Linked DNA regions of Oryzias latipes. The protein of the gene in region 1 interacts with the protein of each later gene in a pairwise test. Links are inferred from orthologs where the notes say so. Each region holds a gene or a part of one and is shown in the gene's direction. Other genes may lie near its edges. The genes, in order: sat1, dmrt3, kcna4, fam69b, hoxb9, lnx1 and casp7.

Evidence for each region.
Region 2: the proteins of sat1 (region 1) and dmrt3 interact in binary tests that used the Homo sapiens proteins (3 or more experiments, as listed by UniProt). The two-hybrid records come from large-scale screens. The link is inferred for Oryzias latipes from reciprocal best matches to the Homo sapiens genes SAT1 and DMRT3.
Region 3: the proteins of sat1 (region 1) and kcna4 interact in binary tests that used the Homo sapiens proteins (3 or more experiments, as listed by UniProt). The link is inferred for Oryzias latipes from reciprocal best matches to the Homo sapiens genes SAT1 and KCNA4.
Region 4: the proteins of sat1 (region 1) and fam69b interact in binary tests that used the Homo sapiens proteins (3 or more experiments, as listed by UniProt). The two-hybrid records come from large-scale screens. The link is inferred for Oryzias latipes from reciprocal best matches to the Homo sapiens genes SAT1 and DIPK1B.
Region 5: the proteins of sat1 (region 1) and hoxb9 interact in binary tests that used the Homo sapiens proteins (3 or more experiments, as listed by UniProt). The two-hybrid records come from large-scale screens. The link is inferred for Oryzias latipes from reciprocal best matches to the Homo sapiens genes SAT1 and HOXB9.
Region 6: the proteins of sat1 (region 1) and lnx1 interact in binary tests that used the Homo sapiens proteins (3 or more experiments, as listed by UniProt). The link is inferred for Oryzias latipes from reciprocal best matches to the Homo sapiens genes SAT1 and LNX1.
Region 7: the proteins of sat1 (region 1) and casp7 interact in binary tests that used the Homo sapiens proteins (3 or more experiments, as listed by UniProt). The two-hybrid records come from large-scale screens. The link is inferred for Oryzias latipes from reciprocal best matches to the Homo sapiens genes SAT1 and CASP7.

What each region holds. Positions count from the first base shown.
Region 1 is NC_019878.2:2,835,663-2,840,058, forward strand, and holds sat1 (diamine acetyltransferase 1), read left to right. Parts: upstream 1-1,489; 5' UTR 1,490-1,696; coding exon 1,697-1,759; intron 1,760-2,524; coding exon 2,525-2,576; intron 2,577-2,644; coding exon 2,645-2,725; intron 2,726-2,921; coding exon 2,922-3,023; intron 3,024-3,090; coding exon 3,091-3,131; intron 3,132-3,424; coding exon 3,425-3,601; 3' UTR 3,602-4,353; downstream 4,354-4,396. UniProt on the Homo sapiens protein: Enzyme which catalyzes the acetylation of polyamines. Substrate specificity: norspermidine = spermidine >> spermine > N(1)-acetylspermine. This highly regulated enzyme allows a fine attenuation of the intracellular concentration of polyamines.
Region 2 is NC_019867.2:1,173,630-1,178,012, reverse strand, and holds the start of dmrt3 (doublesex- and mab-3-related transcription factor 3), read left to right. Parts: upstream 1-1,561; 5' UTR 1,562-1,929; coding exon 1,930-2,320; intron 2,321-3,624; coding exon 3,625-4,383. UniProt on the Homo sapiens protein: Probable transcription factor that plays a role in configuring the spinal circuits controlling stride in vertebrates.
Region 3 is NC_019861.2:9,905,631-9,909,350, forward strand, and holds the end of kcna4 (potassium voltage-gated channel subfamily A member 4), read left to right. Parts: coding exon 1-1,456; 3' UTR 1,457-3,106; downstream 3,107-3,720. UniProt on the Homo sapiens protein: Voltage-gated potassium channel that mediates transmembrane potassium transport in excitable membranes. Forms tetrameric potassium-selective channels through which potassium ions pass in accordance with their electrochemical gradient.
Region 4 is NC_019870.2:6,335,202-6,339,437, forward strand, and holds the start of fam69b (protein FAM69B), read left to right. Parts: upstream 1-1,323; 5' UTR 1,324-1,607; coding exon 1,608-1,673; intron 1,674-2,813; coding exon 2,814-2,948; intron 2,949-4,236.
Region 5 is NC_019866.2:24,161,803-24,165,936, forward strand, and holds the start of hoxb9 (homeobox protein Hox-B9), read left to right. Parts: upstream 1-1,256; 5' UTR 1,257-1,425; coding exon 1,426-2,038; intron 2,039-4,134. UniProt on the Homo sapiens protein: Sequence-specific transcription factor which is part of a developmental regulatory system that provides cells with specific positional identities on the anterior-posterior axis.
Region 6 is NC_019862.2:756,957-759,536, forward strand, and holds the end of lnx1 (E3 ubiquitin-protein ligase LNX), read left to right. Parts: intron 1-816; coding exon 817-975; intron 976-1,056; coding exon 1,057-1,192; 3' UTR 1,193-2,054; downstream 2,055-2,580. Other genes in the region: fip1l1 (pre-mRNA 3'-end-processing factor FIP1), read right to left, coding at 2,310-2,391, 2,471-2,580.
Region 7 is NC_019877.2:5,359,600-5,363,861, forward strand, and holds the start of casp7 (caspase-7), read left to right. Parts: upstream 1-1,375; 5' UTR 1,376-1,520; intron 1,521-1,843; coding exon 1,844-1,965; intron 1,966-3,600; exon of another isoform or gene 3,601-3,836; coding exon of another isoform or gene 3,837-3,871; intron 3,872-4,262. Other genes in the region: nrap (nebulin-related-anchoring protein), read right to left, coding at 72-137. UniProt on the Homo sapiens protein: Thiol protease involved in different programmed cell death processes, such as apoptosis, pyroptosis or granzyme-mediated programmed cell death, by proteolytically cleaving target proteins.

The sequences.
Region 1 (4,396 bases):
TGGGGGACCAGAACCAGAACATCAAAGTTGGGCCTTTCTGTGTGGAGTTTGCATGTTCTCCCCGTGCACGCGTGGGTTTTCTCCGGAGACTTTAGCTTCCTGCCGACGTCCAAAATCCTGCTTCATGGGTTCCTCTAAATAGTCCCTAGGCGTGTGTGTGAGTCTGCATGGGTGTGTGATTGTGGCAGCCTGTTGATTGTGGGGGGTTATCGGCATTGTTTGTCGTGTCATTTTGTTTTTAAATTTGATTATATTTTATGCAAAGCACTTTCAGTGACATGAGTTGGAAAAGTGCTATATAAATAAAGGTTGAATTGATTGGATACTGTCCAAAAACATGCTTCATAGGTTAATGTGTGTCTCTGGATTGCCCCTAGGTGTGTGAGTGAGTGAGTGCATGGCCCTGAAACAGACTGGAACTTGTTCAGGGTGTCTCCTGCCTTTAGCCCAACAGTAGCTGGGCTAACTCCAGCTGCACTGTGACCACAAAAGGGATTCAGCTGGTTCTGAAAATTGAGGCACGATTCTTATCCATTACAATGCATCAAAGTATATAACACAATACAGAAACGGCAGGTGGGATACATATGTTACGCAGAAACACAAGGCCAGATATTATCTCTCCAGCTTGACCTGAATCTGCGGCTGGAAATACCTGTATGTCCACCAGAGCAGGATTGTTTACTAGCAAAAATAAAACTTTATATGAATTTTTGTATATTTAAATGGAAAGATATGTAAGTTCCAAACAGTGTACTTTTATTTAACAAGAACTGGGTAAATTAATAAACAATTGAATAACTACATTTTAGAAACAAATCAACTTGAAAATAAGACATCTACTAAAACTCATATATTTTTAAAATGTATAACTTATTTTTAAATATCTACCCAAGTGCATTTGGTCTGTGGTGTGTGGTAATGGCTTGCTGAAGTTTTCTGATAGTACTTTTAGTGTGCTGTTGTTTTCACCACAGTGGTTCACTGCTGGAAGATCTCAGTAGTTTCAACATAAACTTAAAGAACTGAGTCAAACAGACACAATAACTGAGAGGAAATAAAATCAGTTGTATTCTTCCATACATTGTTTTGGCTTGTCGGGCAGCTCTTTACCTGCAGGCCTCTGTTGTTTTCTGACCTAAAAAGACAGTCAGCCCAGCCCCTCCATCACAGACTTGGGAGGTGGAAAATTCCACTGATGTTGATTACAGGAGTCACTGCTGGTTTTGTTCTGACTTTAAACTTTTTCTTGTTGCTGTTTGCTTGATATATGTCCTATTCTATTTATGGATTCTAGAGTAAGTGATTCTTCAAAGAAAATTACTTTAACAGTCTCTTTTCCAGAGCACACATATGTAATGTCGCTGCGTATCAGCCTTTCTGCGGCCGCTGATTGGATGAAAACTGACCGCAGGGTGCCGCTGATTCGCCACAGATGAGGGGGCTGCTGGAACTGGCCAATAGCGTTCGAGCGCGAGCCGGGTGTATAAATAGTGTTGAAACAAAGGGAAGGAGTTAAACGGCAGTGACCCAGCCGAGGGTGAGCGCAGCTGAATGATCTTGTCCCGACAGACGCGTCCGGACCAGAGGCTGACTGTGGGGATAAAGCCACTCTGACGCGAATGAAGAAACTTCTCATCTTCCAGTTCACATACAGAGGACTTTTGACTAAAGGAAAAAAAGGGAAAAGAAGAAAATGGAGTATAAATTACGAAAAGCAGAGCCCAAGGACGTGCCAGACATATTACGACTCGTGAAGGTACGTAGATATAACGTCAACTACTATTAGAAAACAAAACAAAAAAAACCGGTCTGAACTGGACGCGCTTGTTCCGGTTAACGAGCCCTTTCTGCTGACGTCACGTTTCCCGCTTTGGAAACGTGTCGTCGACGGATAAAAAATACGGGAACTTTTTAGGAGAAGTGTGTCTGACAGCTGATGGTGAGACGGGAGGAAGGTCGGCAGGATGTCCGGCCGGCAGCTCAGCCCGGCGGCCTTTGTTTTTCAGCCAGACGGCTGGTGACCGAGTTAACTTCCGCCTCTCCATATATGGCTCTTCCGCCCGGCAGCTTAGCTTCTTATGGAGGCTGACCTCGGAGAAGTGTTATTATATGGTTGTGTAACGGCCGACCTGACACAGATACACACGTTTGACACAGTAACGCAGCTGAGGGGATGTCAGAATTTACAAACACAAGAAAAAAAAAACAACTAAAAACCGGAACAAAGAAGGAAATAAACGGCGCTTTTTGACACAACTTCATAAAAGCGGAAGTTGAAAACTTATCTGCCTAACCCGTTTAAAACTCTGCTGCAGACATAAAATACAGTACAAAGCAGCTGTCTTTAATAATAATCTCCAGCAGAAAACAAACTTTTATTTAGTGTTATTTGTCATTAGACGACGTCTTTGTCATCTGTGGAACATCCTGAGTCATCACTTTTTTTGGCTTCTGTCATGAACTTTTCTCTGGAAAAGTCTGCTCTCAGAATGTTTTTATCAACGCTCTGCTCTCATTCCAGGAGCTTGCTAAATACGAGGAGATGGAGCACCAGGTGGCGCTGACGGAGAAAGGTGAGTGTCCGGCGGCGTCCGCCCGCACGCCGACAGACCGTGTTTGATCATCGCCTGCTTCTGTGCAGATCTCCTGGAGGATGGATTTGGTGAAACGCCGTTTTACCACTGCATCATCGCTGAAATCCAAGGAGAGAGCAGCAGTGAAGGTAGGCGTGTGCCGCTCTGCTCAGCTTCCTGTTTGTTGGCAGGAAGAAGAGCCGCCGCCGGCTGCAGTTTGGGTTTAGTCAGACGTGTCGGCTCACGTGTGCTCTGGCTGGAGGCTCAGAGCAGCTGCAGGTCTGTGAAGGTTTCCTCCCTGCAGAATGGCCGGTGACCGCTGTCCCCCCCCTTGTCCCCATACAGATCCTAAGGTGGGGGGGTTTGCCATGTACTACTTCACCTACGACCCCTGGGTGGGCAAGCAGCTCTACCTGGAGGAGTTCTACGTGATGAACGAGTACAGAGGTGAGAGCAGCTCCTCCTGTCCTCCGGTGGGTCCCGAGCATCCCTGAACTCCTGTTGTCTCTTCCAGGTCTGGGGATGGGCTCGGAGATCCTGCGGCACCTCAGTGACGTGAGTTCGATTCCTGCTGCAGCAGCAACTGTTGATCGTTAACAAAACCTACAGTGTTTTTTAATCGATACCTTTTAGAATAAAAATATCACTTCTTGTAACATTCAAAACAAAATATATAAACATTGTTTTTTCTTATGAAATCCTGTAATGAAAAGACTCAGAACGTCTGTCTGCTCCGTTCCTCCTGTTGACTGCATGATGCTTCTGTGTCTGACTCATGAGCTGAGGCCTCCTCCTCCTCCTCATGTGACCAGCTGCTCTAACGTCTCCTTCTCTTGCTCCTGGTCCAGCTGGCGATGAAGACGCGCTGCACCGGCATGATGTTCGTGGTGGCGGAAAACAACGCCCCGTCCATGCAGTTCTACAAACGCCGCGGCGCGGAGGACCTGTCGCAGGAGGAGGGCTGGAGGCTCTTCAGGTTTGACAAGGACAGCCTCCTGAAGATGGCCACTCCAGCTGAAGAATGACAGGAGGTCCAGCAGGGCGGCGCAGGAGCAGGAGGAGACCCAGGAGTTCCAGCTCCACTCCCCTCTGCGCAGATGAAGCATGCAGATGTTTCGCTGTAATGGTTCTGGTGCAACACCTCTCTCTGATTTCTGATCTGAACTTTCCCACCAATAAAGAAATTCCTGATCTCAGAAGCTCCAGCCTTTCTGCTGTTTGACAGATCCGCTCATGTTCATGCAGCTCTGGACGTCCTCAAACGTGGACCTGCTCATCCGGGTTGAAGATGAGAACCTGAGCTCAGAAGAAGAGCTTTGAGAGGCAAACGGGGTCAGACTTGACCTGAAGGCTGAGTTTTAACATGCAGGCCCGTTAGAGGATTGTGTTAAGAAAATGTATTTCCATACTCATTATTTTCCATGTATTTATTTAAAGTCTTGGAGTTTGTTAGCTTAAATCCTATTATCATACCAAATCATAGTTTGTAGGCATGCTGGCTGGATGGTTTTTATTATTTTTAGTCTGGTGTTAACATGGTCGTTAGTCTTTCAGTTGATGGAACTGTAGACACTATATTCTTTGTTTTTCTTCAATGACCCTGGCATGCACTCGCACTTGTCTGCAGCCGCTCAGCTTCATAACAGCACTCAGCTCCCTGGGAGGTGAAGGCCGCAGACATGCAGCCGTGAGGAAAGAAAGGCGGAACCTCCAAAACGCTTGAATGTAACCGTTGTCTGTCTGCTCCTTGCTTGCAAGTAAAGCTTGAAAAGATAAACTTTTGAGTCTTATTGAATCTTTTTGCATGTCTGGAAAAACTG
Region 2 (4,383 bases), on another chromosome or scaffold:
ACTAAACTTTAACATTAAATTTAAACAACACTCATGTTAACAGTTTATTGGTGGGAAAAGCTTAATGAAATGTAATTATATTAGAGAGAAAATAAAAACATGTTTATGAAATGAATGATGGTGATTTGCATAAATGTGTCTCTTGGGCCGTTTTGACACCAATTGTCTGCCAAAATCTAAAAAAAAAATGACGTAATATTCAAATTATGTTTGTGTCAAACAACAATTCTTGATCTTAAATAAACTTCAAGATAAATTTCCTAAATTTTCCAAAATAAAATGTTTTTGCTCAGCGTGCCGCCTCCCCAGGGAGGGCTAAATCAATTTCTGACAGGAGCTCAGCCCCCAATCAGCAGCTAATAGTGTGCTCTGGCGGAGGTCAGACCCCCCCCCCCCCCCCCCCCCCGATGGCAGGAAATGAGTCAGTAGCAAAGGGGGCGGGGCTTCTAAGCATGTGACCATTTTCATTTAAAACACATGAAGCGTTGATGCCTCACTGTGACTGACGGTGGCGCCGTGCAGGAAGTGAAAATGTCAAACAGTGAGAAAGTCGGACCTCATTGACGGCTCCAGCTACCCCCCCCCCCCCCCCCCCTCACCATCACACTCCCCCCTCCGTGCCTCACCATGACAGTATTAGAAATGTTCTGGGAAGCTCTCCTTCCATGACGTTCCTCTTGTGTCTCATTAGAACATCAGTCCAGATGTTCCTCTTGTTCCTCTTTGACCGTTGGGCCTTGACCTCTGACCTGAGCTGGCTCCACTGAGGCCTCTGCTGCTCGGTTTCCTCCCTGATCTTGGATCTCTGCGGTTCTCTGGAGCAGCAGGAACGTCTTTCTGAAGGAGGGATGAGGGACGATGGGCCCAGAGCGCGGAAGGACCGCGGTGCCGGGCGGCTTCGGCTCCTGAACCCGTTCAAGATTCAAGCTGAGCTTTAAATCCAAAAATGAGCAAATGAAATGAACATTTATTTCACACAGAAATCAACAATTTATAGAACACAAACTAAAATAAACGTCAAGAACACAAATATTTGAATTCTGTAATTTTGCAAAACATTTCAAAAGAATTTTTTAAATGACAGATTTATGAAAACCGTCTTTCTGTTTTCTGCAGCATCAAACACTAATTTGGCTTCGTGCGTTTTTCCAAATGCTGTAAATGATTTTTTTTTTAAAAAGGAGGCATTAATGTGGCTGCAATAAGAGCAAATGAACGGAGGAGACCATCACGTTTGGGTTTTCAGTGTCGTTTCTGCTTCATTCATAGAAAAAGAAGCTTTGAATCTCAGTTCTTTTCTTTTTCTGTGTGGAAATTTAAAAGAAGAAATGTCAAAATAAAAAATAGATATTTTGATATGAAAAAAATGAATATAAAATATCTAAAACCTTGAAGTTGCTTTGGCGATGCGCTCGCGCGCCAATGCGCGTGCGGCTGCGCTGATGGATAAGTTTATGGGCCGCTCAGACTTTCACTCCCACATCGGTGTCGGACGGGTTCAGACTGCAGAGCCGGTGCTCACCTTGAACACCCCCCCCCCCCCCCCAATTAAAAGCTTAATCGCCCCGCAGACGGACTCTCCGGGTAGCGCGCGCTCGCTTTTCCTCCGTGGGTCTATTATTTGCTTGGATAAACCGTTTTTACGGTCAGAAATAACCCACCTCGTCCCGGGTTATGTTTCATCGCCCACTATTACACCCCACCCCCAACCACCCCTTGAATATGAGCGTCACGTGACCACGGGGGACCTTTGCGCGCGTTTCGTCTCTAGTGTTTTCTGACGCGCGTGACAGCAGTTGGTTACTCGCGCCCACAGGAGCGTGTCTGCGTGATGCTTATCTGCGCCGTGAAACGCGGGACAGGCGGACACTCCCCCCGCGCAGATTAACACCTCCACCGCGCCGCGCGCCTCCAACTCTGCGCCCCGCCATGAACGGCTACGGCTCTCCGTACCTCTACATGGGGGCCCCGGTGTCGCAGCCGCGCGCCCCGCTGCAGCGGACCCCCAAGTGCGCGCGGTGCCGGAACCACGGCGTGCTCTCGTGGCTGAAGGGACACAAACGGTACTGCCGCTTCAAAGACTGCACGTGCGAGAAGTGCATCCTGATCATCGAGCGGCAGCGCGTGATGGCGGCGCAGGTGGCGCTGCGGCGCCAGCAGGCCAACGAGAGTCTGGAGAGCCTCATCCCGGAGGCCCTCAGGGCCCTGCCCGCCATCGGCCTGAGCGCGGCCGCGGAGGAGAGCCCCGGGGCGCCGCCGAGGACCGAGGAGCTCCGGTGGAGCGGCGCGGAGCCGCGCGCGGGAGCGCAGGCGTGCTCAGGTGAGGCTCTGCTTCTTTGAGAAAAACTCACCTGTTTGTTTGTCCGCGTCAATCATAAAATCATCTGAATAAAAAAATAAACTCTACAGTTAAAAATAACCCAAGTTCATAGGGACCGACTTTTTTCCCGGGTTATTTTAACTCAGGTTAAATGAGACCAAATGGGGCCCCAAAACGTTGCCTTGGCTCTAAAACGTCACTTAAAGTGGAACCCAACTGGATAATAGAACATTTTAGTGACGTGTTTCATGGAAAACTTCATTTATTGACCAAAACTATATAGATTTGAAGACAAATTAAAAGATAAACTTCTTTAATTTCAGGGTTTTTTCAGAAAAACTGCAGCGCGTGAATTTTCATATTTGAAGATTTTTAATTTTTTTAACTGGCACAAACAATAAGTAATTAACGCAATTTGTGCTTTAAGATCCATTTGAACAAAATAAACTGACTTTATTATTTAAGATAACTTTTATTAACACGATTAGACTTTAATACCCAAATGTTTTTGAGAAAGTATTTTCAATACTTTAAATTAAAAACCAGAGTTTGAGGCTCAGGGTGGCAGTGGTTAGCCTCTTGCCTCACAGCCAGAAGGCCCCTGGTTCAAGTCCCGGCTGGGGGACCTGAACGGTGGGGGGACCTTTCTGTGTGGAGTTTGCATGTTCTCCCCGTGCATGTGTGTTCTCAACATGCTTCATAGGTCCATTGGTTACTCTGCATTGCCCCGAGGTGTGTGTGTGTGTGTGTGTGTGTGTGTGTGTGTGTGTGTGTGTGTGTGTGTGTGTGTGTGTGTGACCGTGGCCCAGCGACAGACTGGCGACCTGTCCAGGGTGTCCCATGCCTTTACCCACGAAGGGCCGGGATAGGCTCCAGCAGCCCCGTGACCCCAGAAAGGGACAAAAATGAATGGAGTTTGAGGCTTAAAAAAGACTTTCATTCTTTTTTTTCCTCGTATATTCCTGTTTCTTAAATTCTAATGTTCAAACGAAAACCTGATATTTTGCTTTATTTGTTTTTTTTAACGTGCATCAGCAATATTTAAAATTAGTATATATATATTTAATCATCTGGATACAAAATTGAGAAAAAAACTTTATTTTCTTTTTCTTTTCTGCATAAAAGAAAAACTAAATTTCTCTGCAGGAACCTTTAAAAAATCTTTTTCTCTTTAAAATCTGTATTGAAGAAAATAAAATATTTCTGCAGATTTATTTGCCGTTTGAAGAAGATGATGTCTGCATGCGGTTCTGGATCAGTGGTTCTGAGTTCTGGTGTCTGATACCGGTTCTCCCCCCATGCAGACCCGGCAGAGGACGGCACGGAGGAGCTGTCAGGAGCGGAGACCGGGGGCAGCTCGTGCAGTGAGAAGGAGCAGGACCCCGCCAGCTCCCCCGAAGGCTCCAAACCGAACTCCTGCTACACACCGGAGCCGTCAGACCCCCCCTCGCTCCCGGAGGACGGCCGCTGCAGCCTCCCCAGGACCGGCGAGAAGGAGGCCAAAGCCGGCAGCCCGCAGAAGCGCCCCCCCAGCCCGGAACCGAGCGTACTGATCGAGGGCCTGGGGGGCTCCATCAGTCTGCCCTTCAGCCTCCGCGCGAACCGCCCCCCCCTGGAGGTCCTGAAGAAGATCTTTCCCGCCCACAAGCCGCCGGTTCTGGAGCTGATCCTGCGGGGCTGCGGGGGGGACCTGGTAGGGGCCATCGAGGTCCTGCTGTCCAGCCGGAGCTCTGACGGGGGCGCACACACGCACGCAGACACGCACGCAGACGCGCTGGTGCTGCCGTCGAACGGACACCTGTTCGAGCACGCGCTGGGCTCGTACCACCCTTCCCCCGCCAAATGGTCAGTGGGCTCCGCGTTCCGGGTCCCGGACTCCCTCCGCTTCACTTCCGAGTCCGGTTCCGGCGCGCTCCCGCTGCAGCACTCCTCGTTCCCGCAGCCCACGCGCTACCCGCTGATGCTGCGCAGCTCGCTCACGCGCGGCCAGAGCCCGTTCGTGCACAGCGACGTGGCCCTGTGGGGCCCCGTGGCCCTGCAGCAGCAGTACCAGCTGCGCCCCG
Region 3 (3,720 bases), on another chromosome or scaffold:
CGTGTCGATCACGGACAGGCGGCCCCAGTCCGGGTACGAGAACGCCTACAGTGAGTGCGGCTGCTGCGAGAGGGTCGTCATCAACGTGTCGGGTCTGAAGTTTGAAACTCAGCTTAAGACTCTCTCTCAGTTCCCGGACACGCTGTTGGGAGATCCCGACAAGCGCATCCGATACTTCGACCCGCTCAGGAACGAGTACTTCTTCGACCGGAACCGGCCGAGTTTTGACGCCATTCTTTACTATTACCAGTCAGGGGGGAGACTAAAAAGACCCGCCAACGTCCCGTTTGACATCTTCTCCGAGGAGGTGAAGTTCTACGAACTCGGAGAGGAGGCGATCCTGAAGTTTCGGGAGGATGAGGGCTTCGTGAAGGAGGAGGAGAAGCCTCTGCCGGAGGACGAGTTCAAGCGTCAGATCTGGCTGCTGTTCGAGTACCCGGAGAGCTCCAGCCCTGCCCGGGGGATCGCCGTGGTGTCCGTGCTGGTCATCGTCATCTCCATAGTCATTTTCTGCCTGGAGACGCTGCCAGAGTTCAGGGATGAGAAGGAGTATCTGCAGCCGCGGGACAACTCCTCTGAGCCCGACCACGGATTTACGCCCTTCAACGACCCCTTTTTCATCGTGGAAACCGTTTGCATCATCTGGTTCTCCTTTGAGTTTATAGTTCGCTTCTTTGCGAGTCCCAGCAAGACCGCTTTCTTTAAAAACATCATGAACTCCATAGATATTGTCTCCATTTTGCCTTACTTCATCACCCTAGGCACGGATCTGGCGCAGCACCAGGGCAACGGCCAGCAGGCGATGAGTTTCGCTATTCTGAGAATAATTCGCCTCGTCCGGGTGTTTCGCATCTTCAAACTGTCCAGGCACTCCAAGGGGCTGCAGATCCTGGGTCACACCCTGCGCGCCAGTATGAGGGAGCTGGCCCTTCTCATCTTCTTCCTAGTTATAGGTGTCATTCTTTTCTCCAGCGCGGTGTACTTCGCCGAGGCGGACGAGCCCACCTCTCAGTTCACGAGCATCCCCGACGCGTTCTGGTGGGCCGTGGTCACCATGACGACGGTGGGCTACGGAGACATGAAGCCCATCACCGTAGGTGGGAAGATAGTGGGCTCCCTCTGCGCGATTGCGGGTGTGTTAACCATCGCGCTCCCGGTGCCTGTCATAGTGTCCAACTTCAATTACTTCTACCACAGGGAGACCGACAACAACGAGGACCAGACACCTGTGGTGGAGAGCATGCCTCCAGGATGTCCGTATTTCCCCGACTTTCTAAGGAAATTCAAAGGCTCGCCCTCGGGCTCCTCGCTGGGGGATAAAGCGGAGTACATGGAGATGGAGGAAGGGCTGACGGAATCGCTATGCGGGTTGGACAAGAGCCCCAGTAAAGGAAACGGCACAGACATAAGCAGAAAAAACAGCACTAACTCTAAATCTATTCAGACAGACGTGTGATTTTTTCTGAAAAGACATTTTTTGCCCAGCATCAGGTGACTACCCCTCAACTTTTACGCTCCATTCAACCCCTCTTACGCACTCATCCACCCCTTTCACAGTGGCAGGAAAATGCTCCATTCTTTTTCTTTTTTCCTCAACACCAACTTCAGAACCATATTGTATCATCTGAGCTGCGGGCTTCCAACTCTAACATCTAAGTCCAGTTCCACAGAAGAGACAGGCTATGCATTCGCACTTTATGAGTTTTTTTGTCACATCCGAGGGGTAGGGACGATCATTTTGCTGTTATGCAATAAAGTTATCATTTGTTTGCACTAAATTAGTATCTGCGCTGGGTTTGGGGCAAGTTCCTGTAGAGACAGAAAACTGTAGGCCATGCTGGCAACATTTTAGGAATAACTTTACGGAAAAATGTTAGAGAAACTTCTAAAAAAGCAAAGTAACATAGAAAACAACAGCGTTTAAACCCTACCAAACTGTACTCCATTGAAGAAGAAAATAAGACAGAAGAACTACCTTTATCTCTGTTCCAACACTTAAAATATGAATATATATCCATAATTGTTATATATCTTTCTAAAGAGGCTTTATTTTAAATGAGTCAGGGCTACATTGAGATACGTAGTTTAAAAAAAAAATCCCCTTCCTATCCTAAACTAAAGTAAATCATCACCATGACAAGAGTTAAGCACATTCATCATCATTTATGGCTGGAGAAATGACTCGTTGCAGGTCATCTGGACATTTTTGGAGCCTTGAGACAAACCCCTCCCCACCTTTTTTTTTTTTACATTTTCCTCCACTTTCATTCAAACCACCTCAAAGTGACAGTATCCCTTTACAAGATGGAAGATTATAGCAAAAACGACTGTTGTGGAAAATTCTTCAAGGAGAGTTTACGCGCAATTTTTTTTCTCAAGTCAATGCACAAGCGTACATGGCTCAGAAAACCAGCGGAATAAGGATGTCTTCCAAGGTATGTGACTTTTACTCCTTTTTAATTGACACAAAACACACAAACAAAGCCTCTAAAAACAGGAACCACTTGAAGAAAATCCATGCAATGCATTTGTTATTTTCTCGCCCTTGGATGTATCTCCACTACCTTGGTAATCTCTTAGACCCCCCCCCCCCCCCCAAAAAAAAAAGAAAAAGAAGAAAAAGATGCATGGATGCGCGTGCGTAACCGTGTGTAAAACACGATATGAACGCTGGACGACTATGACGCACATTCCTGCCAACATCAGTTAATGTTTCTCCTGTGCAACTTTACAGCTACCCTCAGACCTCATTTGCAACAATATCACAGCGTTTTTCATTAATAACGGGGGCAATTATTTCATCCATGATGACATCAGGTCAACTTCAGGGGAATTGTACTTAAACTTTTGTAAAAAAAAAAAGCAACACCTCATAATTCTGAAGCTCATTAATACACAATCTGAACCCCATTTTTTATCTTCATTTAAAAAAAAAAAAAAAAAAAAAAACATCACTCAGAGTAATCACTGACACCGTTTTTATACTCTTGGCTGTTGATAAGAGGTTTTGCAGAATCCCAGCTGCATTTCTGTCTAAAGTAACACAAACACTGTAATTTAATGAGATTTTGTTTTTGCTTGATGAAAGTATTTTAAACCTCCAAAATAAAAGGAAAGAGAAAAGAGGAAAAAGAATCATATCAGGGTTGTCTTCCAACAGAATTCTTGCTTTAGCTTCTTATTAACTTTACTAGATAACTTACTTTGTGTGTGAGAAAAGAGGGGAGAGACTATGTGTGTGTGTGTTTGCAGAATTTGGCACAAGTAGGATGTTTTTACAACCATCTGCTGAAGCAGGAACGTTTCTCTTTGAGCTTCAGCCAAAGAAGAGTTCACATGAGCAAAGGCTGCATGACAAGTTTGTGGCTTTGTGGTCAAATATATATCCTGTACTCAGTTAAAACGTCAAAACTCTTAGCGCTCTTCATCCTTGAACAGTAAAATAAGAGAAGCTTTAAACAAGGAAAAATTTACAACATAATGGATTCTGAATGAGATAAAGGAGGGTTATTTCATGCGATCGTACTCTAAAACTTTACTGCATCTCTCAAAGAAATGAAGGAAGGTTAGTTTTGGGAAGCTACTGCAAAAATAATACCAGACGTGTTGAGCTTTACCTCAAAAGTTCAACAAAAACAAAAGAATAAATAGAAATTTACCACCTGGTTTCAAATATGCAAGTAGGCAAGATGCTCATTTTGGAAAAGTGCAGCAATGATT
Region 4 (4,236 bases), on another chromosome or scaffold:
GGTCCCCCATTGATGTAGTTTTTCATGTCCCCCAGCCGGGACTTGAACCGGGGGCCTTCTTAAATTAAAAGCATAAATAATTAAATTAAAAAAACACTTTTTTTTTTTTTTTTAAAGAAATACACTTCCACATGTTTTGACATTTGTCAGTTTTGAATAAGATTACATATACATATTTAAATTTCAGATACTTTTAAAGTCAAAAAGAGTTTTGTCCACATGTTCAAGTTTGTTTGGTATTTAATCCTTAAAGCCACATGCTTTATATTTGTTTTTGATTCAACCAAAGCCATCATTTCTTCCTTTTACAAAAAACAAAATATATACACAACAGGAAGTTTGGTTCACAAAAGTAAAACAAAAGATGGCAGGATTATAAAATGTAAACGTAAACATTTGAAGTACAAGGGACTAAAATATACTGTGGTTGCTTTTCAGATCCGAGCATAGAGGATTTTTGCTGACTTACTGGTTTGATTGGACCTTTCAACCATTAAAATATTCCATGGACCACCAATGGGCTACACATGATGCACCCACTACCGTGCTTTACGGTTGTAGAGATGATGCCTTCCAGAAGTCTAACAACATTTTCTATAATATGTATTTATATATTTTTGTGTGTTTAAAGTTTGCTTTCTGCTTAGTTTTAATTGCCAACTGTGGCCCATTTTTAGGCATTATGTTAGTTTGTAGGGTTTTTTCCTTTTGTCAAATTCATTTTGTGTCTTTTTTTGTTATGGTCATACAAATGTTTAACACTTGAAAGCAAGAAAAATAAAAAGAAAAAATCATTTATGTTTTACTTACTTTTTTTTTTTAGAATAGAGTGACTGAAAATGTAAATAATTATGCAATTTATCTAAGTTGCATGCAATCGCTGGCTAAGCTCAGCTATAACATTTGACCTTCCTGTGATGCTTTTATTTTTTGCAAAGAATATAAAATGGATTTATTAGTCTCCTTGCTGCAAGGGGTTACTTTAAAAATGATTGTACGCATCAGTGTCTTAAAAAACAAGAAAAAGTCCCCATTGACAGTTTATTTATTATACAATTTTATTTTTGCAGTTATTCAAAAAAAATTGAGAAATTAAATTGTTCTCTATAACTGAGAGAAGAATGCATTAAATTACGTTCATTCCTATTTAGGAATAAAGAACAAAAACTTAAAACTGTGAAATTCTTAAAGAACAATAATGAAGAAATGGGCGGGGCTACATCTACCCGTTAATATACACAAAAATTAAAATAATCTTTTAGTTTACGGGGAAACTGCTGAGATTTTGTGCCCCCCCCCCCCCCCCAAAAAAAACTAAGCTCCTCCCCTTTATGGGCGGTCCAGCGGGGAGGCTGAGTGAGCATCCGTGCATCCGTTTTCATGGCTCACAAGGACGACGCCGCTTTTCACATTCTCGGGCTAAATCTGTCAGTATCGCAGGTGCACGCGGGTGGTACATGCGCAGTCTGATTCCACATGGAGCTGGCGTTCAAGGACGCCCCGGTGAAGGATTTCGAGTGTCCGCGGCGACGGCGTGGGCCGCCGTGATGATGTGACGTGACGGGGATCTTCTCTTGTCGCTCCGCTGCGCCTCTCTGTCGCTCACCATGCCCAGGGCTGTGCGCAGACTGCTGCATCTGATGCTCTTCTGTCCGCTCCACAAAGGCTTGCAGGTACACCCTCCATTTCTCTCAATAATTGGCTCGGTGATGGTGGAAATGACGAGCCCGCGTGACGACTTGAACACATCTGAGTTTGATGGTGTCTGAGCACATGCGTCACTGCATGACATTTCTCCCCAAAATGAAACCCAAACCGCATATTTTGCCTTTCTACCCTCACACATAGTCATTAAAATTCCGTTTCTCTGAGAAATGTTAATATTCGAAATCTTTCCTATAATGCTTGGAAGGTGTCACATAGAAAAAGAAGAAAAAATATACTGGAATGTTTGTTTCAACATAATAAAAGCCAGTTTTTTTTAAATTTATTTAAAGTAATTCAATTAAAGCTGGGAGTTACAGGAAAAGCATGATAGATAAATAACCAGCCTCTCTTTTTAGTTAGATGTGGAAATTCTTGTCAAAAACATTGCATATTCATATTTTGATCGATCTTTAAAGTGTTCCCAGTGTTCTTTTAATCATGATTATGTGTAATTAAATGCCTACAATCCAACCAATTTGTAGGACATAGTTTCTGCTGGATGGAGTTAATTAATTGTGGGCGGGACTTGATGCAGAGCAGGCCCGCCCCTACTCCCCATCATCTCTTTGTTTTCTTTGCTTCACATGATTTATATTTAGAAGTTTGCAATGAACATTTTATTGTTAATATGTTACATACAAACCCAAATTAAATGTTGGCAAAAGTTTTTTTTTTGTCCAAACAGACTTTTTCTGTCATTTCCGGTCATCTAATATGAAAATCACTGTCATTTGGGTGAAATGTATTTATATCTATATAAATAAATTGCAGTAAAATTTAGATGAATCAGTTCATTTGCATTTAATGTTATTATAAGGGTTAAAAAAATGTTTGCCCTCACACACCAAATCTGACCCTCTTTGGAAAAGGTTTGGACGGCCCTGAGCTAAACTGTCAATCAAGTCTTGGTTGTAATTTTGCTTTTGGACAAGAGATTTAACCCCAATTTGCTCTCAATTTGTAATTTTCTTTGGATTAAAGGCTCTGCTAAATGGTAAATGACACCCAAGGTAATAAACAAAATGCATGAACATGTTTCTGTGCATCATCTTGTCATGACTTTGGGTTGTTTTTTTTTTGCTTCTGCCATGTATTTTTTTCCACAGGGGCGTCTTCCAGCCATTAAGGTGAAGTACCTCCTCCTGGCCTGGCTGGGCGTTCTGATCTTCAGCTGGATCGTCTACATGCAGTATGCGTCCTACGCCGAGCTCTGCCGGGGCCACGTTTGCCACATGGTCATTGTGAGTCCAGCTCTAAGCTTTTGCAGTCTCACGGAGCTTGAATAGGAAAATCCGAAAAATCGGTGTTGATGTGAGTGCTGGTCGTTTGAAACAGGAAGTGCCGGTTTATTTTAAGTCCGGAGTGTCGCTTTGTTACTGCTCTGAATCTTTCATCCACAGAGGAAAGACCTGGAGAAGCTAAACTATAATTACTGCAATCATTACAATTAACACCTAGTTAAAATAAATTGATGAGTCCTCATTAATCACATCTGCTCATGTACCGAAAGATACTAACAGTCACACAAAAGAGCATGATTTTAGCAGGACTGTTATAACAATTTTTATAAAATGTTTCAAAACCTGTGTTTGTTTAGTGTGAAAGAACTAAACCCGGAAGGTTTCCACCTTAAACTTTTTATTTATTTTATTTTTTTACAGCTGGAGCAGCTCTAACCTAGCATAAGTGACCTGGTACTTAAATGTAGATGGAGCACCGATTGCCACAGAAACATAAAACAAATGTAAAGCTACGTTCACACTGGTCAAGAACGCGGGTTCTTAAACGTTGGTGTTCACACTGGGCAGTTCTTCGTCTCTGCTTCCTTTACCGTCTACAAGCGTCTGCCACCTACAGTTGGAAGATGCTCGGTGTAAAATGTTGAAGCTGTGCAAAGGGAAGTATTCACACCCACTTCTCATGGAAAGCGGTTGCTTGAACTTGCGTTGCAGAGGGAATGTAGCTTGAAAAGGGAATTCAGGAAGAGTGGAAGCTGTTGTTGCTGTGGGAGAGCAGGTCGTCAGATGATCGAAGGATCGGCGGTTCGATCCCCACTCCCCCCAGCCAACTGTCGTTGTGTCCTTGGGCAAGACCCTTCACCCACCCTGCCTCCAGTGCAGCTCCACTGGTGTGTGAATGTGTATGAATGCCCCGGTGATGGTCAGAGGGGCCGTAGGCGCGAACTGGCAGCCACGCCTCTGTCAGTCTGCCCCAGGGCAGCAGTGGCTACAACAGTAGTTACCATCACCAAGTATGAATGACTGAATAATGGACACACTGTAAGCGCTTTGAGCGTCTGGAAAAGCGCAGAGAAATCCAATCCATTATTATTATTAAGTCTAAGGGCACTTTCACACTGAGCTGTTTGGTCCACACCCGACCTGGTGTGTGTGAAAGCTCACCTGAACCGAACGCAAAGCAACATCAATGGTCTAGTTTACCTCTAAGTAAAGCCTTGAACACTTTAATGCAGACAACGAAGCAAAAGGCAGTATTGTTACTGCTGCTAGCTAGCTGTAATTGTGATGT
Region 5 (4,134 bases), on another chromosome or scaffold:
CCGCGATTCTATTCTATTCTATTCTATTCTATTCTATTCTATTCTATTCTATTCTATTCTATTCTATTCTATTCTAGGGTATAATATATGATATAATATATAATATTTGTTTTTTTAATGCACTGAGGACATTGGATTGCTATTTGTGAGTTTGTTTTTGATTTGAAAGCGGGTTTTTTTTTCTTTTTTTCTGAAAGAAAGTGTCTCGTGCTTTGGCTCCATGGTCCTGGTCCTGAAAGAACCGTCAGTTTGGATCTTGGTTCGCTGCTGCCTCTTGACTGAATGCCATCTGAATGCCTTTCTTTCTCTTTTTCATCCCTGAATCCAGTTTTTTTTTTACCAGCAGATCTGAAAGCTTCGCTTCATCTTTCCCTGATCCTCGTAAATAACACCGTTAGCCCCCATGAGCAATCTAGTTCATATTTACACGTCGTAAATAACTGTAGCTGCATATGCAACGTGCAGACCGGATTTATGGCCTCCAAAGAGTCCAAAAGCGCATGTCTGTCATAATTACAAACAAACAGAGAGACTTACAGCCGCGGTGACGTCAGACTCCGGGCGCCTCCGGTACATGATGCTTTTCGGGTCCACATTAAGAGTGTAAACCTATAGTTTGATCGGGATCCAGCGCGGAGGAGCAGAGCGCTGATCCTGCGTTCCTCCAGCGGCCGGAAAGAGAGGCAGCCGCTGCTCCGTCCGCACCACCATGAGTCATATATAAGGCCTATAAAACTCAAGCAGCCGCCCCTGTGTGGGATTTTATTGTGGTATTAAATGGACCCCCAAAAAGTGGATGAAGTCGAAGAAAGGGGCTGAGGGCGCGCGGGAGCCGCGTTAAGTTAATGGCGCTCGTTAACAGAAGATGATTGTTAATCCGCCTGTTAAAGTAAGCGGCTGAGAAACTTCCCAAAAAAGAAAAGTAAAACATGAGCAAGCACTTCAGGAGTCACCGCGCGCACTCTGCAGATAGACTGTTGGAGCTGCAGATCAGAAGCAGCAGAACCGCTCTGCGGCCATGAGCGTTTCCCGCGTTTGTTGCAGGTGGACTGTAGTCTGAAGAACTTCTTAGGGCTTTATTCAGGTAAACAAGAACCTCCTCAACATTCAGGTTCACACACACGTGGGTGCAGGGGATGGGGGTGGGGTCAGACTCAAAGGCAACGTGAATGAGTTTGCGTGAAATGGACAAATCCGCGCGGCTGCAAACTGGAACATTTTGTTTGTGGTCACAGAGTCTTTGGGGAGGAGGGGGGTGACGAGGGGGGTGAGAGCGTTAGAGAGTGAGAGAGTGAGAGAGCGAGAGTCAGAGAGGGGGGAAGGCAGCAAAGCAGAAGAAAAGAAGAAAAGAGTGACGTAAATCTCATAATGTCCCTCTTCTTCTGCTTTAACAAACTCGCGGCTGCACGCGGATAATGTCCGAGAATGTCCATTTCTGGGACCCTCAGCAACTATTACGTGGACTCCATCATCAGTCACGACAGTGATGAACTCTCCGGTCCGGCCCGCTTCTCCGCCGTCCAGTACTCCTCTCCAAACTCTTCAGTGGCCGCGGGCGTCAGGCAGCCCGTGGCCGCTGCACATGCGGAGCATCCTCATTCTGACTCGTACCCGTCCTGCAGCTTCCAGCCCAAACCCCCGGTCTTCTCACCGTCGTGGAGCCCGTTCAGCCCGCACCACGGCGCCGGCGCTCTTCCCGCCGTCTACCACCCGTACCTCCCGGCGCAGCATGTTCCCGCGGCGGACACGCGCTATCTCCGCTCATGGCTGGACGCCGCTCCTCGCGACCCGGACTCTGTTTCGGGCCAGAGCCAAACCGGGCAGGTGAAGCTGGAGCCCCAGCTGGGACACCAAGGCGGGGACATCCCGCTCAAAGTGAGCGTGCAGCACCCGCACGAGACCACCACGTACATCCTGGACCCCGTGTCCACGGCGGCGCGCGAACTGAGCCTCCACCCGGCGGCCGTCCCGGGCCGGGGGTTCGAGGAGAGTAAGGAGGGATGTGAAGGCAGCGAGGACAAAGACGGCCCGGATCAAAGTAAGTTATCAAGGTGGGAAAAACGCGTGGGAGCGCGAGCGCGCGGATGGAGATTGTAAACGCGTTTAATGCAGCCATAAAACAGGAACAAAGGAGAGCTGAGCGCAGCAGCCGCGGCTCACGCGCTCACGAGCTCACGTTAAAGCGAGTTTGTGGTGATTTTTCTGTGTCTGAAAGCGAAGAAGTACATTACAGAAAAAGGCCATTTTATGCCTTCATATTATGGGATGTTGCTGTTGCACTGACTTAGGACGGAGTGGGATGTGCGTCTCCAGATGACTGATTTCTTTGGCGAGAGTCCAGCAGAGAGTTCGATATTTATATTTAACGGGACAATTATCAACCAAAAGCTGGTGAAACATGGAGACCCGAGCTGCGCGTGCGGGTTCCGATGGAAAGCTGACATAGTAAGGTGCATGCGTGAGTTCTGAACCGGTCTTCAGTTTGTCTTTATTCTCTGTGGGGTTCGAACGCAGAAGTGGCATTTTTGGAGGAGAGAACGGTGCAGCAGAGGCTGCTCTCCGAGGGAGCTCGGGTCCCCTGACTCATTAACCTCCCGCGTGAACCTGCAGGCCCCGCGCTGCCTCGACACGCAAACCTGAGTGCGGGACTCTAAGCGATCACAGAGTCTCTGTATCGACACCCGAACCATGTAACTGTTGTGCTGCACGCTGCTTCTTTATCTCGCTCATGCTTTCTTCTGCAGTTTATTTTGGCATTTGATTTTTTTGTCCCTGTGGGCGCGCGCGTTTTCCTCGCAGCATTAAACACGAGTCTCCTTCTGAGCTTCTAAAAACTGCAAGCAGTTGATAAACAAAAATCCGAGCTCAGCCTGATGCAGGCGTGCGCGTGAGTCCTGTCTGGGAAACATGGGAGACGCTCTGAATTAAAAAAATCTTTCTTGATAAATAATCAGCTTTCTGTTTTTCAACCCTGCTTGATTGATGATATAACTTTTTAGGAATTGAATAAAGAAAATTATTATTTTATCACTATATTTTTAAAACTAGTCCGGTGTTATTATCTCGAAGCACACTCGTATTCAAAACATTAGTGATTTATTTAAAAAATAGGTTGTGTATATAAATAATTTTAATTTTAAAAGTGATTCTAAAAAATGTGTTCACATCTTTCAGAATAATTTCCTAATTTGCGCATGCGTCACCGCTTCAGTTTCTCGCTGCTTTTTTTCTTTAACTCTGCTGCTTCTTCCCGCTTTTCCTTCTGCTCAATCTGGCAAAAACAAACTCTTTCCAAAGTGCAACTCGGGCTGTTTCTAATCTCCAGCAGACGGCCATTTTGTGCCAAACAGATGCCGAATGCAACAGACGCCCGTGCAGGTCTGATCAGAAATCCTGTAGCTCACGCAGCTGAGGGCTGTGGCGCTTTAAAGTTTTTTTTTTCTTTTCATTTCACTCTCCTAAAACCGCTTTAGGGCGAACATATTACAGACCTGCTGATTGAATGCAGCAGAAATCAATAGAACAGTTTGAAGTCATTTATTAAATCTTGTAAGAGTCCAGACAAACCAGTGCCCTTTTATGCTTTTTTATGTGATCTTAACTCAAAACAACACTCAAAATTAACATTAAAAACATAATGTCCACAGGAGAAAACAAAAACCCAGACAAACACACCATAAAGGCAATAAAATATTATAAATATCTATTTCCATCAGTCAAAGTCCGTCTGGCTGTGATGTGTTTGTGATTTCCTCCCTCATGACTGCAATAGCAGCTCATCCTTTAGCAGCAATGCTGAAGAAATAAATCTAGAAAGTTCATAACTAAAACTGTATGAATGAGCTGTGAGACAGAATGGAAGAAGATCTCAACACCTCTCTCTGCTCCATCTCGTGTTGAGATGCTTTGCTCCTGCTGGAGCTCAGGACACCTCGGGCCTTGAGCTGTAGGAACATTGTGTCCTTTGGTTCTCCACCGATGGCAGCAATTTGAGACGCAGTCGGAGAATGCAGCAAACATAATTCTGGAGTGTCAGTTTATCAACAGGCGGTCGGGTCCTGCCAGGGGGTCAGTGTGGGAAAAAGAATCACAAACGCTGTGTTCGGGGCTCGCTCTCTGAAGCCGTTTTCCTCT
Region 6 (2,580 bases), on another chromosome or scaffold:
GGGAGTTAAAGGTCTTAGATTTCAAGCAACAGTTCCTGAGAAGATCTGATGGACTAAAATATAATCTTTGAAAATCAAAACAATGTGATTTCCTGGATTTTTTTTTACATTCTTTCTCTGCCAAATGAAGTGTTTCTAGGATGAACATTACAGACAAGAATCAGCTTTTTATGCTTCAAAATTTGTGACTGACAAATACTTTTTTGCCTCCCTGTTTGGGTAGTTTAAAAAAAAGTTTGATATTTGATAAAACTCCCAAAGGAGCAAAGTCCTTAAACAAAACTGAGAACCAAAATGCCTCACATTATCAGTCAAAGAGGAGCCAAAAGATTATTGCAGCCGAAGGGAGCTTGAAAGAGTCAGAGGCTAAATGTCCTTGGCTAAAGCTTCAATGAAAGTGAGGCTTTGCTCAGCGGCAAGCCCACAACAGAATGTAAGACATTTCATTGGTTCAGGTAAAGTCCAAAGTTTAACTTAAGCAGATGCAAAAGAGATGTCCTTTTGTTCCTTTAAGAATATTCCCATGCCAGAACCCCAAGGGAAGGTGTTTTAAAAACTGTGGAGGGGGGGATTTGCTAAAAGTATAATAAATACATACATTTGCCATCCATTGTTCAGATTTGTTTTTCATTTTTGCTCAGTCTGGGGGTAATGAATTACTTGTGAAATTAAATGTTTGGTACGTCAACATTTTATTGACCTTATTTTCAGGACCTGACAAAGAAAAATCTAGATACCAAAAAAACTTAAAAAACAAAAAGAAACAAGTGTTAAGTGTCAAACATTTATTTATGCTCTCCCCCTTCTCCCATGCAGACATCTGTACTACTGCAAAGACATCGTTCTGCGGAGGAACACGTCGGGTAGCCTGGGCTTCAGCATTGTGGGGGGTCAGGAAGAAATGAACTGCAATCAATCCTTTTTTATCCGTTCCATTGTTGAAGGAACACCTGCTTACAACGACGGGCGAATAAGGTATTGAGGTGACCCCCATCCAAAAATGTTTTTGGCATGAGTGAAACGTTTAGGGTTTCACTCTGCCTTGTTTTTCTGCAGATGCGGGGACATCCTACTGGAGGTGAATGGGAAGAGCACCTGGGGCCTGACCCACACAGCCTTGGTTCGCCTCCTGAAGGAGCTTCGGGGCAGGATCACTCTGACCATTGTCTCCTGGCCGGGCAGCCTGCTGTAACGGCACCCCAGCCTCCCTGCACTGCTTCTGTGATAATGACCAAGGGATGTGGAGGCAGAGCTTGCATCGGCAGACTGTCCTTAGACTTCTTGGAGAGAGAAAAAGGACAGAGGAAGGCAGACACTGATTTCTCTTCAGGGATTTGACCAGAATCTGGGAGGGTGATCAAAACAAAACTGAACTGTGAGCAAAAGTTTAAGTTGCCCCTCCAGGAATGCTGAAATGGGAGGATCCAAGCCTGCCACTTTTCTGAATGGGATGTTGCGAGATGTTATTTACTTACAGAACATTGTCATTGTCTGGAATAACATCCAGTGAGTGGGCTGGGAGGAGAAGAGGAGACAACTTGTTGCCAACTCCAATAGATATATTAGGATATGTGTTAAGTTGGACTCACATTTCTTTATGTACTGTAAAAATGCTGGTTGTTGAAAACAGTAACAGTCCAATCACTTGTAATATGTTTTTTTTGGTTTATTGTATGGCCTTCAAACGTAGGCTTTATTCTGTTTGTACTGACAGTGGTTCTCATCTGTTAAACTAAAGACTCGTTGCCAAGTACTAGTCTGTGAGGTTTTTCTGTTTTCTCAGAAGCTATTCTTAATAAAGAAAACAATTGGCAAAGCAGGTCTATGACAACATAAAAGGATCAATGTGTTCTTAACATGTTGAAGTGACATTTAATTAGGTGACATTGTGGAGGCCTTACAAAGTTTCTTACTTTTAAGAAAGAAAAAGCTATAACTGTTCCTGTGCATCACTGGATGGTCTATCTCCTGTGGTTCTGTTTGTCACGCTTCGGCCTGTGTAGTTTATCTGATGGTACATGACCATAAAAGACTAATAAAGCTGTTCCAAAACCTGTTGTGTGGTTTAAACTTTTCACTTGTATCTTCACAAGTACAACACAAGTACAAAAGACATGAAGCAAAGCAACAAAATCTTTCTGCAAAACTCATGAGGTTTTCCTCTAAAATCAACTTTAGTCTTCAAAAATGTTCAAAAGATCAAATAATTGTTTGCATTGTAAAATGACATCAAAGTCATTCTTTCCTGTTAAATCAGGAACATTTCATTGTTCTTCCTGGTCAGCACAGTCTGTTGTGGAGCTGTTTTTTTACGTCTTGTTTTTTCTTCTTTTTGCATCTTTTACCATGGTCCTATCTTCAAATTTCCTGCTGCAGCTTCCCTGAGTGCTGCTGATGAGATAAATAGAAAAAAAGACCAATTGATTAATAGTTCTACTGTGTGTCTTTTAGAGTGTGTGTTTAGATGGACCTGTGTGAAACTCTGTCAGGCTTCCAGCTTCTGTCTTTCCTTCTGTTTTCTCCCATGATGTCTTTGAAGCTGCAGCATCTGTGGCTCTCATCCTTGGAGCTCCTGGCCTT
Region 7 (4,262 bases), on another chromosome or scaffold:
TCTCATACTGGTAAAGCGAATAAGCAAGCCCTACCTCTGTTAAATTATATTTGAAAATGTTGTTTTGTTACCTGATCAATGCAGTTGATCTTCTCTGCTGGGTAGACCACAAACCCACACCTGGCACAGGACTGCATCGTGTGTTCTTCTTCAAAAATACAATTCAGCAAAGGTGAGAAATTACAACCAATGTATGTCCAGATTTAAAGTTTGGGTTTGGTAGAAGAAAGTGGCTCCCTTGATTTAGTGTTTCTCTGGCTGTGGTAAACTTAGCAATGAGGCTGGAAGTCTGACACTGCCTCTTACTTGACACCGTGTCCCATGACGGATCAGGCCCCCACCTCAATGCCCCCATGCTTTTCATGACTGGCTGGGTTTAGCTGTCCATCTCCAGTCACAGAGCTGGAGCGTTCACATGTCACTGTGTTTGTGTAATGAACCCCAGATGGCCAATTAGTTCACAGGCATTTACATTATGACACAAGTGCCTATTTTGCACGAGTTTAATCATTTAAGGAACCAATAGTCTTATACTGCTCTGCCAGTTTTCTATGAATAAATAAATGACACAAACTGATGATAAACAATAAACTTCGTTTTGTTTTTATCCTTTTTTATGTTTCAGCCTATTTTTCTTAATCCTTATTTAATTTTTTTAAGTGCTCTATAAATAAATAATACGATCCTCTGTTGGTAGACTTTTAGCTCTTCTTTATTCACAATTCTGCAAAATTATAATTACTTTTCACAAGGACGTGGTTTCATTAAAAAAACTATTTTAAAGGGATCAAACTACTTTTTCTTAATATAAAAAAGGAAACCTCTAAATTACAATTTATTCCAACTCTTTGACTTAGGTTAAATAATTCTAACACTGATTAGTCTGAGCTCTGATGATTATTTTTTATATACATATTTTTTTATTAAAATATCACTTATACATTTTAAAAATATGATTATGAAATCTAAATCAATAAAAAAAGTTAAATGTTAAATTAAAGGAAAATATAAATGTTTTGGCTTTGAATGAGATTGAATCAACTTTATTGATAAAGCACTTTTTATACAAAGTTGCATCTCAAAGAACCCATCAAAAAACAAAGCCATATGCACAAAAACTGTAAAAGCGTTAAAACTAAATTGACTTAAAGAAAACAAATAATGAAGGCAGTGATGCAATATTTTGATTTTATTTATTCACTTTATCGAGAAAAACACAGTTGCAAAGAAGCAAAATTGCACGAATCTGTAAAAACAGAACTGACCGTAGTTTCATATTTATAATTATTTTATTTACCAATAATTTAATGTAAATGTACCAATAGATTAAAAAAAATGAAGTTTTTTTTTTTTTTGACCGGAGTCACGTTGACCGGTGACGTAGTTACGCACGAGACATTCTTTAACAAGTTTCACTTTTGCCAGGCTCAAGAAACTGCTTTTGGCGAACCTTTGGAGGAGGAAAAACTCCTAAATTCAAGAGTAGAGCAACAAATAAGTTGACACACGAAAGACCAAACGTAAGTAAAGATAATTCTGTATTTTTTCTCATTCAGGTTGGATAAAAAGCGGTCAAATGTAGCAGTTATAATTTAGTTATTTAGCTAGCTAACGCTCAAACGCGCTAAAACAGCAAAAAGATCAATAAAAAAAAACTTTATTGAAAAATATGTAAACATCTATTATACTATAACCAGTTTTTGTTCATAGTTGTCTGTTTTTCAATTGTCTTTTAAGATGAACACGGAAGTAGTAGGTAGTCCAGAATATAAGAGCCTGTACTTGGATTCCCAACAGTTACTCCTCGATGTCAGTGATTTATGAAATACTTTGTTTACTGCAGATGGCAGAGGATCATGCTGAGTCACGTGACCTTACAGCTGGAGATGGAGATGATAGTCTGACAATGGGGGACACGACAGACGCCAAACCTGACCGCTCAGGGAGATTTCTTCTGTTTGGGAGGTAACTTCCGCCTATACATTTCATGTTTTCGTTTTAAAGAAAACTAAAACAGGCAAAATCTCTATACATTTATTTTGATCTATCTTTAGAGATATTTATTTAGTTAGGTACGTATTACTTAACAAGCCACCTGCAATATAAAGTGCATTCTTCCTCTAATCAAAATGACTTTTGTACTTTTCGTTGTAAGTTTCTTTTCTTTTCCTGGAGCTCACCTTGCTGGTTAGACATGCCTCCTTCATCCCCATAAAGATCAGAATCTCATAGTTAATAAAAGGAACACACTAATGTTTTATTTCGTACATTTAGTGTAAAGAAATCTAATTGGATCCTTTCGTTAAGTCTTTGTGGACGAATTAAGCATGCGTGAATAATAAAATAAATAAATAAAAATCCTAAGTTTTTTACGCTCTCTGAAGTATTGAAAAGAATTTGGGAATGATTTTAAAGTCAGTTAGCTCAAGAAAATAATAATATATATATATGTATGTATGTATGTATGTATGTATGTATGTATGTATGTATGTATGTATGTATGTATGTATGTATGTATGTATATGTATGTTACTGTATTGATTTAAATAATTAGACCTTATAATAATGGATTTTAGGCATTTTTATAATATATTTTAGGAAGCATTTTAAATATTTCTCTATATATCTATATTTATATTGATATATATGTAGGTACCGGACAGCTAAATTTCTCCTGATGGAGGTAAATAAAGTATTATCTAAGTCTTAATTAATTTTTTTATTTTATTTAATTATGTGTATACATTTTAGTAATTTCTCAGAGCTAAATTTGAATCTTACTTGTAGGTATAAATTTCTTGGCTGCCTGTTGGATACATTCTCCCTCACAAGGTGGCACTCTGGATCTTTTTATTGGAATATTTATCAACCTGGACACCTAAAATAAAAAAAAATAAAAACTATGGGACCTTCAAGAAGACTAAAATAAATGCGTGTATTATGAAACTATACACCAAAATGGTTGTGTTGAAAAGTGTAGATCTGTCCTTAAAACTTGTTTTTGAGGTTTCAAATAAAGACTGGAAGGTGATTTCATAGAAACAGTTTTAATTTTAAATAGTAAACTAAAATTATAGACTGAAAGAACAAAGATTTGAACTGCAGGTTTGTAATTAGAAAAGGTGAAAACAGTTTTACGGCAAAGAGCAGAAAACAGATCTTTAACTGAACAACTAAAATGAAAACAAGGAAACAAATGTAAAATCCTTATTCCCTGCATTTTTTGTTGTTTAAACCTGTAAATTAAGGTATACAATTCTGCCCTAAACAACATTGTGTCCACAGTGTTTGCAGTCATATTGGAATCTTTGGTCATCAACTTTTACCCTTTTAAATATCATTTTAAAGCTTTATTCTGTGTTTTTTTCGCCAGAAAAAACATTATCTTAATTTATACTGACCCAAAATGTGGACAAATATATAACTTAAGGTATCATGATTGAGCCGTTTTTGATGCTGTGGTATGGCATGACTTTAGAAGAGGATCTAAAAGTGAATTCAAGTCCAGATGATTGGCTTATCAGAGAATTCTTTGACTTTTTTTAGCTGCAGATTTTGTCCCAGCTGACCCCAGCAGTGAGTGAGGCAGTGTGAATAGGCCTTTAGAAAGCACTGGTGTGGTGGTGAGGCTGCTGACTCAGGGGCCTCGCAGCGCGTCGCCCCTGTCCTCAGCAGCCTCCCGCTCGCTCAGTCAGGTCTTCGTCAAGTGCGGAGAGGATGCCACCCTCCTAACCTTACAAGCTTCAGTTGAACTACCCGCTGAAGAGAATCCTGCGCTTTGTTTTGTTTTTCCGTGGCATAGAAAAAAAAAAAAATCCAAAGCGAAGGCATTTCCGATGCAGAGCGGAGTAGCGCTTGATAATCAACCCAGGTAAGATAGAAAGCGCCGCCTCCTGATCTTCTTGACTACTTTCCGTCACCGCATAACAACGCTGGTGCTCTTAGCTTGCTATTGTTTAGCACAGGTGGCTGGAGGGGAGGGGGCTTATGCATCACATGTTTATTGCAATATGGCTGGACCGTCCATGAGAGTGTTACAGTCAATTGTTGTGTATTGTACTGATGCTCGAGTGTCCTGATGACTGGGCTCTTCTGGAACAAGCCAGGATTTTTTAGAGCCTCTAACGGGCCACCATTGGCTCAGTGATCTGGATGAGTCTTGCAGAGAATGGAAAGATGGCAGGTCTGTGAGAAAGCCTACGGCTAGAGGCTTTCGTCTCACTCAGTCTACGTTAATGCGGTTATGATTTTTGATATTTGTT